Linked DNA regions of Caenorhabditis elegans. The protein of the gene in region 1 purifies or fractionates together with the protein of each later gene. This does not show direct contact. Each region holds a gene or a part of one and is shown on either strand. Other genes may lie near its edges.

Evidence for each region.
Region 2: the proteins of sor-3 (region 1) and spt-4 fractionate together in Caenorhabditis elegans (co-fractionation; one large-scale study listed by BioGRID). This does not show direct contact.

What each region holds. Positions count from the first base shown.
Region 1 is NC_003284.9:351,636-358,465, reverse strand, and holds sor-3 (Sop-2-related protein 3), read right to left. Parts: upstream 4,848-6,830; 5' UTR 4,847-4,847; coding exon 4,808-4,846; intron 4,676-4,807; coding exon 4,586-4,675; intron 4,537-4,585; coding exon 4,390-4,536; intron 3,854-4,389; coding exon 3,735-3,853; intron 3,685-3,734; coding exon 3,471-3,684; intron 3,330-3,470; coding exon 3,248-3,329; intron 2,882-3,247; coding exon 2,751-2,881; intron 2,693-2,750; coding exon 2,549-2,692; intron 2,500-2,548; coding exon 2,344-2,499; intron 2,177-2,343; coding exon 2,072-2,176; intron 1,817-2,071; coding exon 1,700-1,816; intron 1,646-1,699; coding exon 1,524-1,645; intron 875-1,523; coding exon 745-874; 3' UTR 527-744; downstream 1-526. UniProt on the Caenorhabditis elegans protein: Probably acts synergistically with sop-2 to maintain the transcriptionally repressive state of homeotic genes in order to regulate various neurogenic identities. Specification of some neuronal identities also involves expression of non-Hox genes.
Region 2 is NC_003281.10:68,525-71,257, forward strand, and holds spt-4 (Transcription elongation factor SPT4), read right to left. Parts: upstream 1,229-2,733; 5' UTR 1,215-1,228; coding exon 1,057-1,214; intron 907-1,056; coding exon 702-906; 3' UTR 549-701; downstream 1-548. Other genes in the region: attf-3 (C2H2-type domain-containing protein), read right to left, coding at 2,004-2,171. UniProt on the Caenorhabditis elegans protein: May function as a component of the DRB sensitivity-inducing factor complex (DSIF complex), which regulates transcription elongation by RNA polymerase II.

The DNA.
Region 1 (6,830 bases):
TGTTGTTTTAACTACTAGGCCAAAATATCTGCAAACTAAAAACCTCGCACGGAAATTTGAGTGTGTTACATTAAACTCACCGGCAAATTTGAGTGTTGTGGCTGCGAGTGAGCAGCAATCATATCTACAGTAAGAATAAAGCAGGACAATTCCCTCTCATTGAACCTATCAACGCGGAATTGTTTGGCAGCAACTACTAGAATAGTTAATGATGGTGTAGCCAAATTTTATTGCATTATTAGACTTGCCTGAAAACATCGAATATGAAACTTTTTGAATTTTGACCCAGACTTGGACTGTAGTGTGCACTTTTTTGGTTTGGGCGGGTCGAGGTCGGGGTTGCATCTTCGGCCCCCTCAATGAAAAAAAAAACTTATCATCTCTTTTGTAAAAAATTCAAAATCACTATTTTCGATATGAAATTATAACTTACCATTCGAACAACTTTTATAACAAAAGTATTTTGGATCTATACTTTCGTCCGAACACATACTCCACCTTTTACTTTTGTAATAAAATTTTACATACATATATCATATTTACTCTAATATTATCAAAATATATAAACAGCACACTTAAAAACAAGGGAACACGAAGGTTGCTAGTGAGTTACACATTTGAAACGAACGAATGTTTGCGAGGTATGAAAAGAGATATACCCAAGGAGGATAGAATAATAGCGGTAATTTATGACAAATCATATGAATGAAAGCGTATGAAAAATGAATTGGAGTGAGAGACCAGTCAAAAACTCGAAAATCCGTTGTTGGCGTTTTTGTTCTTTTTGAGGGGCTTCTCATCGAAAAACTCTCCGTGAAAGTTGATAGCAAGCTCCATGTCAAGACAAGCTCCCAGATGGTACAAATGTGGATCGCTGAAAAAATAAACTGAGAGTGAGAGTGAGTAAGTTTGAGACAAAATGAACGTGTCTATGTGGATATTTGAAAATTACAGTTACTATTTTTTTTTTGTGGTACCGTTGGATTATTGTAACCCTTCATCAAAAGGTTGAGAGACTGGTAAGTTGTTTTTTTCCTTAAACTTAGGACAACATTTTCAGCCTGGAAACCTATAACTTTCAATTTTGAGGAGTTTGAGAAGGATTCGAATAATAATGAAAATTCGTTAAAATTACAACTGTTTTGGTTTTTTGGCTTAAAAACCTAAAGTAATGTCTAAGAGTTTAAGCCGGTGTACTCACACCTACTTTTACCCAAGTAAATATGCCTACACCAAGAGTTCTAATTCTGAAAATTCAACCTAACAATTTTGCTGGCAACTTTACTTCAATGATTGCATGCAATATCAGAATACTTCAAAGATACAAAAAAGGAAACGAGCAACAAGTTTTGCAAATTCAAGTTTTAAAATCATTCAAATTCTTTCAAATTTGCTTAACTTAAAGTGGTTTTCATCACACTAATTTAAATGTTCCTATTTTTTCTTGGTCATAAAATTGACACTTCAAACTTAATCATTTTTCTCACATCCAATACTTTATATTTCCACAAAAAAAAACTAACGCATTGTGAATGTACACAGGTTCATCCTCGCCGCTCACTTTTAGCCGTAGCATGCATTCTTGCTGTCCAGTCACTTCGGCAGCCGTCAACTGCAACGCTCCTGTAGGTGTAGGCCGGAAAATCTGAACAAGATTTTGATCGATAAAATAATATAAAAAACAAAGAGCGTTTAATACCTCACAAAATTTGAGCGTATCCATGCTCTTAAGCAAATCCTTTCGTTTGTAATCTGGTATATGATTCATGAAATTTGTCCACTCTTTGTGCGCGCCAATGTTGTCTCCGAGCAGCGGCTGAAATTTATTATTGGAAAATTAAGTGGTAGAAATTTTGAAGAATTCCAATTAAATTTTCGAATTCTCTCGACATTGGTCTAATGTATGTATGATGATTGTTTTGTTGAATATCTCTTGCTTTTGAAGAGCCTATGTAAAAAGTCAAAAAAAAAAAGTCAAAAAAGGAATTTTTAAATTTTTAAAGGAGAATTACCATCTGTTCAGAAAAGAAAAATAGAAAAACAAGCAACACTACACATTAAAGTTACATACCCTGCTTCTGAACATTGCGTCCGGAGTATCGTCAAGCAAAAGAGGTCCGTTCTTTTTCTTAGCAATTTTTGGCGAAGGCTGCACTCGGTCACTTGTTTTGTGTTTCTGAAAAAAAAAACGTATTTCGTGTAATTCAAATTTGAAATTTTATTTTATTCAAATGGCATATTTTTCTCTCCATCCCTTGTCTCATCCCAAAATATGTTCATCTGTTTCTCTTCTTTACTCCTTTAATGTATTTGATTTTATATATATATTTTCTGATTACTTACATCACACGGATTGCAATACGTACGAAGGTAACCATCTAAATTTGATTCATCAGGAAGCAGCTTGACATCAGGCGGTAGAATTATCTGAACTTCCATCCGTTTAGCAACTGAATATGGTAGAATTCTTGGATGATAGACATGAAACTCGTAGGGTCTCTGGAAAATTACTCGATTGAAACAAAAAGAACTAGAACAATAAACTTACATTATTTTGCTTACTGGTCACAAGATTTTTTCCAATTGAAATATTGAAAAAATGACGGTTGTTCCTGCAAGTTTTTGTAGTGACCTTGTGAGCAAAATAAAAGCGTTTCTGATCCAAGTCCAGATAGACACATGCACTGTATTCCTGTAAAACAGTTTTTTGAGTTTCTTCTAACATTTTTACAGTATACCAAATCACTTACTGGAATACGATGGGGAACTGGGCAATTGTTTCTAAAGACTATTTCTGGAACAGCGCCGAGTTTTTGATTTGTCGATTGTTTCACGAGTCCGGCAACCAGGTCAACGTTCATGTGTCGATTGTAGGGGCCTCCTGAAAAAATCGTAAAATCACTTCTCTTCGATTTTGCAAATGATTTTCAAACTATTTTTGCTAGGGGAAATTGCAAGTAATCATTGAAAAATCTCGATCAAACTCATTACTTTAATTGAAAATCTAAACTTTTACATTACTCAGTTTATTGCCGAACTCTGAAAAATTTCGCAACCGGCAATTGCCGAAGTTGCCGAACTCTGAAAATTTTGCCAGCCGGCAACTTGGTTGCACAGCCCTGATAAGTACCGTAATTTTTAACTTTTTTAAACGTTTCTTTAAATTTTCCCCACTGGCGCACATCCACCTTTAAATAATAGCTACTTGGCTGTGAGAAAGCGCCAATTTGGATTTTTTTCCACTTACGTTTCAAATACTCTTGCTTCTCGTTTTTGCCCCAACCGATTTCATGACAGTATGGGCTGAGCATATGTATCCATCGTTTGAACTGAAAAAGCATTAAAAAATGAAACAAAAAGACTGGCATTGTTTTTCTGAATATTTTCCGTTTTTCAAGTTTCCAAAACACCAAAAAAAGTTTATTACAAAGTTTTGATGCACCCAGATTTTACTTTTGCACACAACTGACGTTTTGATATTCAACCAACAGGAAACCACGATAATTTTTGACAACAGTGGCCATGACGTAAAAATCCGGTGCATCTTCAAGTTGCAATTCAAATTGCTGTCCAGGTTTCACTAATGCGGACAAGCCTTGTTCAAAATACGGAGTCGCTTTCTCAAAATCGCGGATTATGTAAAAGTCGTCCCAGTTTCTCGCTGGAATCAAGTGTTGGCACAATCTGAAAAAAAAACTATTCAGAAATAATACTAGTAGTTTCCTAAAACTTACGGCAGGGCTTTTTCGAGTTCACTTCTTGTCATTATTATATCCGAATACTCTACCTGAATATGCTTTTCTTTTCCGCTTTCAAGAAATCGAGCCACAAATAGGTTTTCCGGGTTGCGTGTCTGAAACTTTGAGGATAATGTGAACGTAAATTTAAACATTGGAAGAAAAAACATAGAGGTACTTAAATAATACCATATTGTTTTTTTTCATGACTGACTTTGAATAATTCTAGTTTAAATAAAAATGGAAGTTTGGCTTTTCATTTGTTCAGCACATTTTTTCGTGCAGTTATTTTGTAGTGATTTTGCAGTGAAGTGATTTTGAAACAGGGGTGGACGACAAACGATTTCAACAACGAATCCAACAACGAATCGGCAGTTTGCCGATTTACCAAATTCGTCGACAAAAAAAAATTGGCCGAACGGCAACTGCCGCCCATCCTTATTTTGGAGCACCTAGGGAAATCGGTATCAAAAATAACTTTTTCTTTATATAACGTTTTTTAATGAGTTTTGCACTCTTTTTGGCTGTTTTTTAGATGCAATACTATTATAAAGTTAAAAAACTAATATTATTATCGGGAAGTCATTTTCGATGCTTACTTTAGCGAAAAAATATCACAATTTTCAACCGTATTATTTGATAAAAAACCAACCAGAATTTTGCAAGGGAATATATCGTCCTTTCTTTTCACAATGACCACCAAATTTTTTGAAAGCATCCACATTTTCAACGATGTCGCTGCTTCGGTGTGTTGATTGGAAATGTGGCGACCTTCTTGTGGAAAGAAATTGGATCTCGTCTGAAAAAAAAAACAAAGAAGTTCGCCTTAACTATTGCGTTGGAAATACCCTGGCATGACTAATCCACAATTTATTATGCGCTAAAATGTCGGAAATGGGCTCATCAAACATCAAAATTGATTCCATCAAATCAGAATCCTAAAATTAGAACTGTTTTAGAAGGGTATGAAGCTGAGGTGGTCTTGCAAATCGGCAAACCGACAAATTGCCGGAATTAAAATAATTTTGACGTGAAACAAGTAAAATGAGTGCCAAATATTCAATACTTACGCAAGGTTTTATGTCTTCTGACTGATTCGTTGTGTCCATCCTGAAAATATTTATTTGAATAAGTTAAGAATTATCTGAAAACGTTTTGAGTTGTTTTAGTAAAGTGGAGAACAAGAATTATAAATAAAAAATTTCTCCATCTGCAGTAATTACAATAACACTCTAAACAACGACACCATCGGAATATCGGAATGTTGTTTGTGGCGTCAAGAGAGGTGTAGTGAGAGACGGTGGAGAGGCAGAGAAAGAGAAAGAGACAGAAAAGAAAATCGGTTGGGGTTTTTTCAACATGTCAACAGCTTGAGTGAAAAGAGAAAAATGTGGAGAGATGGCCGAGCGGTCTAAGGCGCTGGTTTAAGGCACCAGTCCCTTCGGGGGCGTGGGTTCGAATCCCACTCTCTTCAGTCTTTTTTTATTAATTTTGAATAAAATCATTCAAAAATAGCATGTTCAATGCAACAGTATATATACATATTTTTTATAGTGAAAACAATATTTTCAAAATAAGCAAAAATCTTATTGAAATCAGCATTTAAACTTTCAAAATTAGTGGTAAATATAAACTTTAAAATCTGAGAAAATCAAATAAGACTATGAGAATGAAGGCATTATGAGAGATGGCCGCATACCAATAGTTATCGATTCGGTGCTGAGTGGTATGTGGGTCAGCAGGAGGAGAAATGTGTACCAAACATACATGTCAACGTGTGACACCTGTTTTATGGAAACTAGTATAAAACGTGTGGATCAGGGATGTGCGACGCCGAAGTTGCCGAACTCTGAAAATTTTGGCAACCGGCAATTGCCAAAGTTGCCAAACCCAAAAAGTTTCGGCAACCGAAAACTTGGTTGCCGGTTGCCGCATAGCCCTGGTGTGGATACATTTCAATTCTGCCAAGCAGCCTCTAATAAATGCCGAGTGTGGCGACTCCGCCCCTTTTTCGCGTTTTTTCGCGTTTTTTTTGGCTTGCGAAAAAATGTCACACTTCGTTTTCATTAATAACTCTAGAGCCGTTTGACTGAATTTTATAATATTTGACAGCTTACTAGAAATATTTCACCACGGGGGAGCAAAAAACTGCACAAAGTTTGGAGCAAAACTGAGCTCAGGGCGGTTTTCCTTAGTTTGAAAAAAATTTTTGTTGCTCTTTTTACCCCCAAAAAACCATGTTTTAATTGAATTAAAATTCGGGTTTTGCTCGGTTTTGTTCCAAATTTATGTGCAAGATACTACTCAGAGAGGTGAATTTTTTGAAAGAAAGTTTGAGTTCATAAGTGCAAAAGGCAAAAAGTTGTTTTTCGTCTTTATCTCAAGTTCTACTTCATCTTTTTCGATACTTTTTTTTCTACCCCACGTAAAAAAGTTCGCTAAACACGATTTTCAACTCAGAATTAAGAAAAGTTTTATGAGTCGGCCGAGCAAGACGAATAAGTGCCACATTTTGCACACTTTCCCATTTTCGCGAATCTACTTTTTCAATCATAACTCGGTCAGTTTTCGAGTTTTCTTAGTTTTCCAAAAATTGACGTGTAGGTCTCATCAAGACGCATCGAGACATATAAAATTTGTAAAAAGTTCAGTGGGAAAATTTTTCAAGAAAAAAATAATTCAAAAATTTAGTACTGGGGGGAGTGGTTTCCTGCGTCTCCTGAACATTTTATCCACTAAAGTTTTGCGGAATGTATTTTTAATTCATAGTTTTTGATTTTATTTGATGGAAGATGAAGTTTCGTCGCATTAGAAATACTCTGCCAAGAGATATTATTTTTATTAATTTTCAGGCCAAAACTTGTTTTTTTTCTATACATCTGTCTGTGTACAAGATATAGCCCTCAACTATACGTCTCCTTTTTGGGAAATCAATAATGAGTACAATCCTGTAATAAAATTTTCAAAAATTCGTTTTCCCGCTGACATATCAGTAATAAACGGTTTTCGAACGCCTTTTCTCAAAATGTAATTATTGAAGAAAGCGGAATCGAAAAACGACTCCCTCCAGAAATTTCCCTTCCCTGCATCTCC
Region 2 (2,733 bases), on another chromosome or scaffold:
AAAACATGTGCACTGACCAAAAAAAATGCACTGACCAAAAAAAATATTGCCCATTTTGCCACTTTTTAAAAATTTTTGATGGGTTAAACCTAGATTTTCTGAATGCTGCATACATGAATTACCCATTTTCAACAAAATTAGACAACTTTTTATTTTTGCCCAAATTTTTTAAAGCCATCTAATGACTGTCCTTTTTTTTTTTGGCAAAAAAATATTTTTTCGGAAATTGTACAAAACCACTATATTCTTAAAAAGGGCAATGTTATAGTGCCAGAAAATCAATTTTGAGTCCTCTAACTATAAAACTAACCATTTTATGGGAGTTTCAAAATTGTGATTTTTTGCCATAAATTGCCATTTTTGCCACTTTTTTATAGTTTTTGAAGGGTTACAGTAGTGGTGCTGTAGGGTTACTGTACATGTACTGCCGGGGTACTGTGTGGTTACTGTAGTCGCAGTCCCAGAGTACCGTAGGATTACTATAGTTGTACTTTCCCATCCAAAAAAATTAGGAGAGCATTCAAAATTCCAAGGAAAAGGAAAAAACTCCCGTAAGTGTGATTTATTGGAAGATCGAGAAAAAAATGATTCAAAAATGGATATAAAAAGTTAAAAAAAAACACAGAAAATAAGTTAGGTTTGGGTCTGAAAAATCTTCAAAATCGACCAATTTTAGTGGAAAAAAAGGGTGAATAATTAAATTATTTCTTGAATTGCGTCGAGTAGTCTCTCTGATTGGGCTTATAGCGGACGCCGAGGCTCTTGAGCTCGCTGACAATATTGTTCGGCAGTACTCCAGACACACTGATCGCGTACATTCCCTTCACTTTTCGCTGCATTTTCTGCCATTTGCACACCCACGACTCGTTGTTGCTCATCGCCGCGATCATTCCATCGTAGTTTGCACTGAAAAATGGGAAAATTCGAATTAAAAAAAAAAAAATTTTCAAAAAAAATTTTTTTTTCAAATTTTTAAAATCCCCCAATTTCCCGCCTAAAATCTCGCGGGAAATTCAAATTTCCACATAAAAATTCAAAATTTTCCACTCCTACTACCTGGTACAATCATAGACCTTCTCCTCGTCGCCTTTCAGGTGAAGCACGTCTTCACAATTCTCGCAGCCCTCTTTCTGGAAGCTTTCCACCGATTTTACCAGTGAGCAGAGTAGGCAGGCACGTAGGTTTCGGAGATCCGCCGGTACCGAGGCTGACATTGTGCTGAAGTTCTGGAAATTTTCGAAATTTGGGGAATTCGTGAAAACATCGATAAAAAGTTGAGCAAAAAACTCTCAGGAAACCCACAAAAAAAATTAGAAAATCAAAAAAATATATAAAAATTTTTAACAAAAAAATTCGAAAATTAATAAAATATAAATATGGTGAGAGATCTCAGGATATGGAGATGATGGTACAAAATACTGAAGGATTCAATGCGAAATTCGAATTCCCCGCGAGATTTGGCTCTAAACAGCTTTTAGTTGGGCTCCCTAGCTAAATTTTCAAAAATTCGGGTTACTGTAGCGCCAAAAATACGCAAACACCATCCGAAACACCCGACCTTACGCGAAAATGCAGAATAGCTCAAAAAATAGCGTTTTCCGGGGTGAAAAGTGACATGGAACTCGAATTTCGAGTCAAAATGCACTATAATTTTGAGATTTCATAGAAATCTTGGAAATTCCAAGATTTTTCAGGAATTTCACAGGTTAAAACTAAAATTTACCAAAAATTAGGATCAAAATCGGATTTCCCGCGAAATTTGGCTCTAAACAGCTTTTAATTGGACCTTCTAGCTCCAAATTTGAAAATTCGGGTTACTGTAGCGCCAAAAGTACGCAAACACCACCCGAAACACCCGACCTTATGCAAAAATGCAGAAAAGCTCTAAAACAATGTTTTCCGGGGTAAAAAATGGCAGGGAATTCGAATTTTGCATTGAAATCGCACAAAAACTGAGGGAAAGTACAGAAAATTCAAAAAAAATGTGGGGGGAAACACGAAATTTAGCGATACATAGAAGCCGATGTACATGGCTGTTGATCATCGTCGTCCATCAGATCGGCTTCTTCCTCCGGTAACATCATATGAACCTCCTCCTCGTGGTGTACAATTTCCGATGGACCCGTGTGTGGTAGAAGTGACGGTGGCGGTGATGACGTGGCAGGATCGTGCTGAAATTTTAAATTTTTGGCTTAAATTATAGGATTTCTTGGCTTTTTAGGTGGTAAAATTCAAATTTCTCGCTAAAGTTGGCTCTAAATACGTAAAAATTCAAAATTTTTTGGATTACTGTAGCCTCGAAAGTACGTAAACACCAAATCTGACGACAAGTTGCAGAAAATTGGAATTTTAGAGTTTTTTACATGAAAACTCAAGTTTCCAGCCATTTTTCACTACAAAAACTGATTTTTCTGCAATTTGTCGTCAGATTCGGTGTTTGCGTACTTTTGGGGCTACAGTAACCCGGAAATTTCTCAATTTAAGCTGGAAAGCCGAAAAACCACCCGTGCCGGAAACCAAATTTTGCGTAGAAACTGAATTTATTGCTAAAGTCTTTAAAATTTAAACTTTAAAATCTGAAATTTAAAAATTCTGAAAAAAATCGGCATTTTCAAACTGAAAATTACACATTACTGAATTCTAATCATCAAATTCGAATTCTTGGTCATTTTTTACCCCGGAAACCCAATTTTTAAAACTTTTCTGCATTTTTGCGTCAGATTCAGTGTTCTG